Linked DNA regions of Drosophila melanogaster. Changing the gene in region 2 together with the main gene of any one other region gives a genetic interaction. Each region holds a gene or a part of one and is shown on either strand. Other genes may lie near its edges.

What was found. A genetic interaction does not mean that the proteins touch.
Region 1: of Alg9 (region 2) and grnd, changing one suppresses a phenotype caused by changing the other (phenotypic suppression), as found in Drosophila melanogaster (one study listed by BioGRID).

Annotation. Positions count from the first base shown.
Region 1 is NT_033779.5:18,483,670-18,488,535, reverse strand, and holds grnd (grindelwald), read right to left. Parts: upstream 3,120-4,866; 5' UTR 2,569-3,119; coding exon 2,334-2,568; intron 1,911-2,333; coding exon 1,602-1,910; intron 1,520-1,601; coding exon 1,338-1,519; 3' UTR 515-1,337; downstream 1-514. Other genes in the region: kon (kon-tiki), read left to right, coding at 1-462; CG10283 (uncharacterized protein), read left to right, coding at 4,567-4,642. UniProt on the Drosophila melanogaster protein: Acts as a receptor for TNF-cytokine egr. Plays a role in activation of JNK signaling and is required for egr-induced apoptosis, including in wing imaginal discs during development. May also play an egr-independent role in cell proliferation.
Region 2 is NT_033777.3:25,219,814-25,224,653, reverse strand, and holds Alg9 (ALG9, alpha-1,2-mannosyltransferase), read right to left. Parts: upstream 3,066-4,840; 5' UTR 2,953-3,065; coding exon 2,795-2,952; intron 2,737-2,794; coding exon 2,374-2,736; intron 2,320-2,373; coding exon 1,842-2,319; intron 1,787-1,841; coding exon 914-1,786; 3' UTR 536-913; downstream 1-535. Other genes in the region: Cad96Cb (cadherin 96Cb), read left to right, coding at 36-271; CG31103 (uncharacterized protein), read right to left, coding at 3,281-3,327, 3,389-3,516, 3,572-3,855, 3,916-4,042, 4,112-4,526, 4,587-4,708, 4,770-4,840. UniProt on the Drosophila melanogaster protein: Probable alpha-1,2-mannosyltransferase involved in the N-glycosylation pathway. Probably involved in glycosylation of the TNF receptor grnd, regulating its ligand affinity. Required for normal epithelial growth and architecture.

The DNA.
Region 1 (4,866 bases), on a different chromosome or scaffold from region 2:
CACAAGGCAGATATATCCAAGGATCAGCCGCCGGCGCTACCGTGTCCACCAGACTTGACTTCTGTGAGTCCGCAACACCATCTGCACCATCATCATGGCCACCATTACGCAAGTTCCGAGGCGGATTCCGTGCCGGCCACAGGAAATTCAACACCGTTACCGGGTTTCAGCAATATTCCCCATTGCAAGATAATACCCGTGGAGTCGTACAAACATGAGTATCCCGACTACGATCCCGATGAGGAGGAGACGGACGATCAGTGCGATCCGCAGCAAATGATGCTGCCGCAGAGATATAATCCTTATCACATGGAGCACGACGCCTGGAGTTCGTCCTGCGATATGGCGAATGATTTTGCTGGCTATGCCTCTGTGCCACAAAGTATTTCCGGATCGGTCAGCTCACCGCCCTCGGCCCCGCCAACAAATCCACTACTTAGGCGGAATCAGTATTGGGTGTAAGGTTTAGAAGGATGTTCTGCAATAAAGGGATCAATACAAGCGTTTCCAATTCGATCGGAATTAGTCCTAGGTTATTTATTTAAATATAAGCTTACGTTTAAGGCTGATTTATGAGATTCGTTAGGAAAAGTGAAGCATTTTATATACGAAAACATTAATTATAGTTTGGAAACAAGCACACATACATATCTGGCGTGTCATATACAAACGATTAGCATTAAGGACGAGAACAAGAGTTATACTCAAAAAGCCAACTTAACTTAGCCTTAGAATTGTGTTTGCCAACGTGGAATACTTTTTACAATAAATGACAATACTTTTAAGCGTAGTTCCCGTGTCTTATTTCAAAACTCAAAAAATTTTCAGGAAGATTTATTTCGCATTCGTAATTATTTTAACCGGATGGAAGTGTGTTGAGAAACGTTTGTGGTGATTGCGAATGAATTGGTTTTCCCCCATATTACCATTTACAAAACTTTTCCACATAAAAAACTTAACATGATAATAAATTGAACATTATAAATATATTTCTTAACAGTTATAAATATGTCTCTTCGTTCATAGTTGTGATGTTGTAAGTATTTTCGTTGCTTTAAGGAAAATATTAAAGTAAAGAGAAAAAAGTTCCTTTACATATAATTTCATACAGATCGAATATAAGTTTTCAGGGCCACATTGGGTTATCAAAAATATGTCCCAACATATATAAACCTATTAATTAAGGTTTATATTCTACAGATATGCGTATATATTCCATATTGATAGAAGACTTCTTGCTTAATAACTATGAAAAATATCACTAGTTTTAATGTGGTGCACATTTTGCTTTCGCTGGACTGATTTAGAAGTAAGAGTTTTCAAGTACTTGTATGGCCTTAGAAAGCGACGGGAATCGTCGCTGCTGAGGGTTTCTCGGAAACCGGCGTTACGACCATGGCCTGATTATCGTATCCGTATCCGATCTCCGTCATAACCGTTGTGGGCGTGGTACTGTTTTCCGCCGGATAGCGAGTGCTCACCGGCGTTGTCATAGTCACAACGGAACCCTCGGCAGCACCTGTAATAAATCATTGCAGGTATAATGTGTACATTGGGAAGTGTTATTGGAAAAACCCGGACAGGTAGATCCTTACACTTACCTGCCACACTGTAGATCTGTGATTGTGCCCGCTCAAGGTCGCTGCCGGGATGGTTAATGGCATTCAGATTCTGTATGGTGGTAGCATTAAGATCCTTTCCATTTGCAGTTGCCGGATGAGGGTAGGCCTTCGATTGGAGACGGCGCATCAGCTTCTGGAAGCACCGATTGCCTATCAGCCATCGAAGGAACTGAAACGCGCAACGAAGCGCAATCAGGACGAGAAGGATAGTCAGCAGCAAGAGGATCAGCTGCTGGGTATTCTGGATGTCCAGCATCTCGGCTTTTAACGGCTCAAATGTCTTGTAAGCTGTGGGTTGATAAAGAAATTAAATAATATCGCTACTATTATCGTTTTAAGTAAATAATAATTGATAAAACACGGGAACGTTTTTGATAACTCGTTGTACATAGTCAGATAAAAATTGCAAATGCAACTGGCCTTATCTTGCCATTACAACTTTTACAAATCTTTTACACTAAAAAAATTATTATAAAGCTAGTTTCAACAAATCATTTTTATTATAAAAATGTACATTCTTTAAATCTTTAAAATACCCCCTATTTTAGTCAACTCATGGGTGATGAGTTAATCACCCGCTGAAGCAACTGTAATTGAAATACAATTAAGTCCAGCTGGAAAAACCTGAACTTGCATAGAACCCGCCAAATTACCCTATGGATCGTGAGTTAATCTGAGGTAATCTTTTGGAAATCTTTGAATTCTACTTGCCTGAACATTCCTTGGCGCACAGAAACGCATCGTAGTTGTGGGTTTGATTATTGCAGACCTCGATGCACGGATGACATCTCTCCGTTGCAACATAGCAAAATTCATTGACCGGATGACAGATCGTGCCATGGCAATCCCTACTCTCTCCATTGGCCGCAGCTACCAAGGAAACACTTGGAATCAACGGAACTCCACCAATGGAGAGCGATAGGGCACTCAACTTCCTGACCGACATTTGAGGTATTTTATAATGTGTGCTTAATTTACTTGTTATGGGTATTTGGTTTTGTAGCGAGCTCGTTCCGCTAAGTTTGATCGAAGTTTACATTAGCACTGTTACAACTTTTTCCTCGTTTTAAGGTTTTTGTTTTGTTATTTTTAAACGTATCCAAAGTATGATTCATACACCAGTAACGCGGCCCAGACGCTAACTGACTAACTTCTTTTTTAATTGCTGGCTTCTGGAGTCTGAGTATTTTGCGTTGCCCTTATACGTATAATCACATGTGTATTGGTGCAAACGAGTTTATCTTAGCCAAGTTTTACAGCAGTTTTCATAGTATTCCGGTTAGTTTCTCAACATTTTCACACATTTTTCTAGGGGATGTCCGGACACTTAATTATTAGGTTTAATTCTGTATTTTTTACACCAATATATTATATATTATATGATTTAATACGCTTTTTAACTTTAAACGTTTTTAGCCATCGTTCAGCGACGCGTTTTGAGCCACATTCAACTCGTTACTGACTGGAATGCCGCGATCGCTCGCTGTTACCAACAACTCAGCACTCGCACCGAGGCATCTATCTCAAATACACACTCATTCGCACCGTGACTTGACTTTTGTTTACCTTTTTCACGTCGATTGTAGATGCAAAAGTATCTGTATATCTATGCTGTGGCAAGTAATACAAGTATTTGTGTGTCTGCGATCGACTGTTTATTTTGCGCTATGAGTGAAATACTCCCGACTTCGGCATACTTTGAACCCGGCTTCAGTTTCTTAAATTTCGGCTGCGATTTGACTTATAAAAATAAATAACAACGAGAAGGTAGTGCCTCAAGAAGTATTTTATAGAGACTACTTGCTCACTCACTTTATTACCCAAGTTATCAATTAAAATAATAATAAAGTTTTATATGAATAAACGACAATATGTTTAAGATAACTTTTATTGAAATTCCCAGTATCCCAATATGAACTATACGTTTAAAGTTTTTTTTACAACATTACCTATTATTTAAATTTTAATTATAATACCTTACTTTCACAACTAACTAGCAGTCGTGATATTTATAAACAAGTTTCTAGCTACACAATTTTTATCTAATTAAATATGATTTTGGAATTTTTTAAGTGTAGCATTTGTTGAGGATTGAAACCTCGCTTAGCTAACGCAATGGTGTATGTCTTTACTAAACAGCAAATGCCATATACATAAATAAAAGAAATACTGAAATTCGTTGCTCCCAACTCATTTTGGAAAATTAAATAATAATAAAAAACCATATGTACATATATACCGTTTAATGAATTTATAAATCAATAGTAAAATTATAACTTTTTGTATTTAGATTTGAAATCTTTTTGAAACTTGGCAGCACTGTTTTGAGTTATTCTCTCTCCTCTCTCTTATTCTCTCTTCCATTGCAGTGCCGCTTTCGAGATACATTTGTATCGGCTTCCAGTTCCAGCGCCGCTTGCAGTATTATTGTGTCTTCCAGTTAGCTGGACTGTATGGCCAAGTCAAACAACATCCATTCGCTGAGCGGCTTTCGCTGTTGAATGAGCTGTTTTGCTGCTTTCGTGGAACGACGGCCGCCGGTTCGTTGCGTATCTTTGGGATACAATACCTAAATCAAATCGAATTTTGAATTGCAGCTGTCGTTGTTGCGCGCGTGTTGATGGTGGAAATTGTGGAATTATAAGCATTATATCTCGTGTGGAAGTGTGAAAGTGAAATAGTTGCACCGAGAGCGACGCAATTAGATGAAAATATAGTTTACTCACGCTCTGTATCGCCGCATCTATGTATCTATTTTGCCAGCCCGCTTCAACAAGTAAACCAACATAAATTAAAAATCAGTGGAGTGGAAGGCGCGTCCTTGAGCTACCCAATTTAAACACCTGTTTTAGAACGAGATACAGATATTCTATAGAGATTTGAGCCACCGAAAGAGACAGCCAGAGCCTGTTAGAAAGAGAAGGGTGGCGAGAGGAGGAGAGAGATGAATAATTTCACAACCACAACAGCAGCCGCACCACCAAAGGAAGCGCTGCCCCGATCAGGACATGTTAATGAGGGTAAGCATGGGTTAAGAACCGAACCGAAGCAAACCATTTCGAAATTGGTTGAACATGAACAATTTCGTACGGGGCCTTGGATAATTGGAAATTGATTGGGTTTGAGTGTAGCTATTGAGATGAAGGGGCTTTGGAATTGGGGCGGGGGGGGCATGAGCACCACATAGAAGTGATTAATTTGAGGTCTTTTAAAATTCCTCTTCAACGTTTTCTTCCCCTGACTT
Region 2 (4,840 bases):
CCCCCATTCTCACCCGAAACATTCACTATTAAAAGTCTTCTTGCCAGGCATAGTTTCGCGCGCCTCCGCCAATGGCCAGCTCTTCGAGGAGGATGAGATCGAGCACGACTCACTGCAGACGGAGAACAACAATCGGAAAGTGGCAGCCACGGGAGTGGCAAGCGGTGGGGTTACCACCATCAGTACCACACCCGCCAACGCGGGCTCCAATCTTCTATCCGCCACCGATGCCATGGGTTCCTCTGAGAACAACTTGACGGTCTACTTCTAGAGCGCAGGAGGGGAGGCAGCTACTCCCGGAGAGCTTGTAAATATCGCTGCTAAGTCAGTTTAGGATTAGGTTTAGGCCCCGCACACGTGTATGTACATTGAGTAGACCAAATATAGCATTGTAAACAGACCCAGCACCAGATCTAGGCTAAGTCCAAGCGATTTCCATTGTAAAGTTTTGCTTCCCAGATTGTAAGAGGATCCGTCCAATAAAGTTTTCAACTATTCAATCACGTTGGCCCCTTCCATGCAAACAGTTTACCATACGAATCTCGTTGTTTATATTCTTGACGCTTATGTTCTACTTCGATTCTGGTGATCTTCACAACTTTGGCATGGACAAAACGAAAATAACGTGAATTAAAAACGCTTCACTGACTTAGAACAGATATTAGGATATTACAAATTCAATGCTGGGTACGAAAGATTATTTGGAATACAGACAGAGGCTCTCAGGGGTGTAAGATACTTGGAAATCACTATAAATTCAATATGAATTGAAGCTATAGTTTCTTAAGCATATTTGCTTGGCATTACTTTAAGATTAATGCGTTTTTTTTGTTTTGAAAGAATAAGAGAGCCACCCCATATGCATTGGAGTTTTTGTGGCATGAATCCAGACTCTTTCTATCTGGGCCTGCCTTTACCTGCCATTTCGTTTCGTCTTTCGCTTGAGCAGATTAAAGTCTCCGTACTGAATGTGATTGTCGGTCAGGAATGGCACATAGAAGGCACGTAACACTTTGTGCGACTTCTCCGGAATGAGGAAGGGCAGACTCTTCATCACCGACCAATCTTTGGATCGTTTTGAATAATTGGGTTCCAGAGCCGTATACTTGCCTTCATCAAAGTCGACGAGGAAATCGCAACGGTCGTAGTCAAAGTACATGTGCTCATTTTCCTGGTTGAGATCGTTAAAATACGGTTGCACTACCTTAGTAGCATTTTGACCTTCGTCATAGTACGCGGGCAGCATGCCTCGGAATTCGGATTTCAGAAAACGCAGCCGGAAGTTTTTGGCGGGAAAGAAGAAGCTGCCCGGATATCGATGCCAATCTTTGCCAATACACACGTTGTATATTACATCCGGGTCGTACTGCGGTGTCGCCTTAAACTGGTTCAGTTCCAGCATCAAATCCATCGGAGCATGGTAGTTCCTATACAGGGCAAACACCCTGGAAAGTCCCAACAATGTGCTGGTCACCATTACCAAGATGGCAATAAACATGCTGTGGTCCAGATAATGAACTCCCGCCTTAATTTTGAAGACCACCGATTTCATACGGAAGAATATGCGCTGATACACATCCACAGTGATGGCTCCGCAAAGCGAGATTAAAGGATATATGGGAAACAGAAAGCGCTCTTCCTTGTGCGGTTGGGCAAAAAAGACGAGAAGCCACAGGTACAGGGGAGCCAGCGAGATGTAGTGGGGGAAATTTAACGTCGACTTTGATTTGGCTGGCACAATCAAATAGTCTATGACCAGCATTATGGGTAGTTGAAGTGCCAGGAGCTATAAGGGAAAAAGTTATCATAAATTTAAGAGTGTAATAGATACAATAGCTCACCCAAATAATATTAAAGTTAAGGAAACCATTGATAATGTAGTAACTGAGTGGTTCCGTACCAAATATGTTTGGTCCGTGACTGGTGAACACATTGTACCAAACAATATTTAGAGGAGCAAATGTCAGTTTGCCAAAATAGCTGGTATCAATTGCAATCATGGGAATGGCAACCGTGGCGCCCGATATCAGTGTCCACTGAACAAAGGTCTTCCAATCACGCTGCCTTAAAAGCATCTCCAGCACCAGCGGTATGCCAATAAGCGCAGCAAATGGCCAACCAAGCAAAGCGGATATTGCTGTCAGGAATATGGCAAAACAGTAATTTTGTTGCCACCACGCGGCCAGGGCAGCACAGCCAAAGTACATGGAAAAGGAGGATGGCAGTAGAGCGGTGCTAGACACAAACATGCCCACACTGAAGAGCTGGAATATCAGCCACAGACGACCGATGTGAATTCCAAACTCTTGACAAATCGACCTAAATAAAGTTTAGTTAGTTTTGAACAGGATTTAGTACCAATGCCATGCTTACTTGTACATATATCGCTCCATTACGGCACAACCGAAACCCAACATACATCGCACCATGTAGAAGATGAGTATGGGACTGGGATTGAACAACTTTTGGTAAAAGTATCCGGGCACGCCCTGCAGCAATAGGTAGGTGTACGATCGGAGTCCAAACTGCGGGCTGTACTCCCACGTCTGGAGTCCATGGCCATTAATGATGTAGTGCAGCGGCTCCCAGTAGTTGAACGTCTCGTCGCAGTCGGCTATGTACGCCCAAATGGCGCTGCACAACCGGGCGCTCACGAAGGTCTTGAAGGCGGTCTGAACACTGGGCATTATGGGGTTGGGAAGCCCCTTCTCTTGACCACCACTTGTGGGTTGGTTGCTGCGGGTGAGAAGTAACGGCGTTTAGTGGGAGTCAGGGTACATAGGCCAATACTTACCGCTTTTTAGCATCCTTATCCTTTTTTTTGCCGGCCGGTGTGGCTTCCTTCGTCTTGTTGTTGCCATTTAGGCCCGGTCTTTTGGGCGGTTTCTTTGAGAGAATCTGGTTGTCCGCCTTGTTGGCTATGTAGCGAGCGCGAGCAGCCGGAGGCGCCATAATCCGGACTTTCTGAGAAAATTACCGGCGGAAAAGTTGCAAAGTATTGTATATTATCAATATTATGTGGCGCAGGTTATCGATTGCATCAAAGCTATCGTGGAAACCTGCATTTCAGTTGGGGTATTCTTGTCCCTAGTAATGTGCCCTATACACCAACTCAGATTTGTTATCGATATATGTGTAGACGTGAGTATAGTAACGGCTTTTTGAACTGGATGTGTGTCACCATTGTAATTTAAAAAGACAACAGTTTTAATATTGGTGTAAAAATTTAATAAGAAACATTAAAGAAGAAAAATATACAAATACAAAAATGAACAATTCATTAAGCTGAGTTCCGAATTGGTAGGTAATGAACGATAACAATGCACACTGAAATGAAAGAAACTTGAGGTAGTTAAAGTTCTTCCATTGGTAGAATTACAATACTTACCAATTAACGTGCACGTAAACATAGCAAAAGTGGTGTTGCAATAAGGCTGCAGCATAACTCCCATCAAGTTTGTAGCTGCAATGATCCCAAGTCTTCCCAGTGACATGCAGAAGCTAACTGCCTTGGATCTGATCGGAAAAGTGAATAATTATTTCAATATTAATAGAAGTGTAGATCATTTACCTCAAATGTGTAGGGACCAAATCAACAATGGCGCCAATCATAATAGAAATCGAAAGCCCAGGCAGAAGAATGTAAAGGCAAAAGAGAACAAGGACTCCTGTTGGACTTTCCATAAAATGCAATAGGACTCCACTTAAAGTTGCAACTGCCAGAGCAGCTAAAAGTACGTTTTTACGGCCCAAAGGATTAAGTATTAGTCCTTGAATCGAGAATCCAATCAGAAATGCGAAACCTACAACGAGGTTGTCAATATAGGTTTTGCTACTAATAGGATCGGTGCAGTCCTAAAATTAAAATTAAGTATTAAGATTGGTTACGTAATTTTAAAATATGTTCATAATTACCAAAGTTTCTGTAACATTGGGTTGTTCTACGGGTACGCTGAGAATTTCGCATACTGTTGAAGAGTTATTTTCGGCACCTGATGACCGATTAACAATTTCGGGAAACCAAAGCTGCATGCCGTTTGAACTATGTAAAAGATTATGTAAAAGATTATTTATTAAAGAACTATTAAGGTCTAACACCATTTAAGATTACCTGAAAAACATTCCGAATAATGCCAAGTTGCAAAGAATAAAATTAAATCCATGTGGCTTGTGGAAAAGTGGAATAGTGGCCCTGCAAATTTTGGATAATATACCACATCCCTGGCTTTCGCCCAACAAGTTTTCGCCCACTGGATCCTCGGACTTCAGTGTAAATTCATCGCAGCTCAAAACTTGTTGTATGGATTTTCCTCTGTTAAATTTACTGATCCAAGCCACAGCTTCTATGGCTTCGTTGTTCTTTTCTTGGGACAGCAGGAACTTGGGGCTTTCAGGATAATAGAGTAATATCAAGCCGCCAATAAATCCTGGTAGCAGACTAACTAGCAATAGCAAACGCCATGGCCTAAACACAAAATCTCCCATGGTGATGGCCCAGTTCGAGGAAAGTACCAACCAAGCAGTTGCTGTAAGTTCAAAAGAAGTTAGTTAGTAAATCAATTGCATCCATAAGTAATCATGCATACCTGGAACATATATGGCCGTAACACTGACGAACATCGTCGAATAGTTAATTGCCACGGCGCGATGTCGTGGTATATTGAATTCACTTAGATATGCATAGAGTGCTGCTGACACCGCGCCAACACTGTATTCATATGACAATCAAAAACTTTTGCAATAAATTACGTTTTAGCGCTCGTACTCACCTAATTCCAACGAGAAGGTTTATAATGTTAAATAGCCAGACGCTGGTAACAAACATCAGAACGAACTGGAG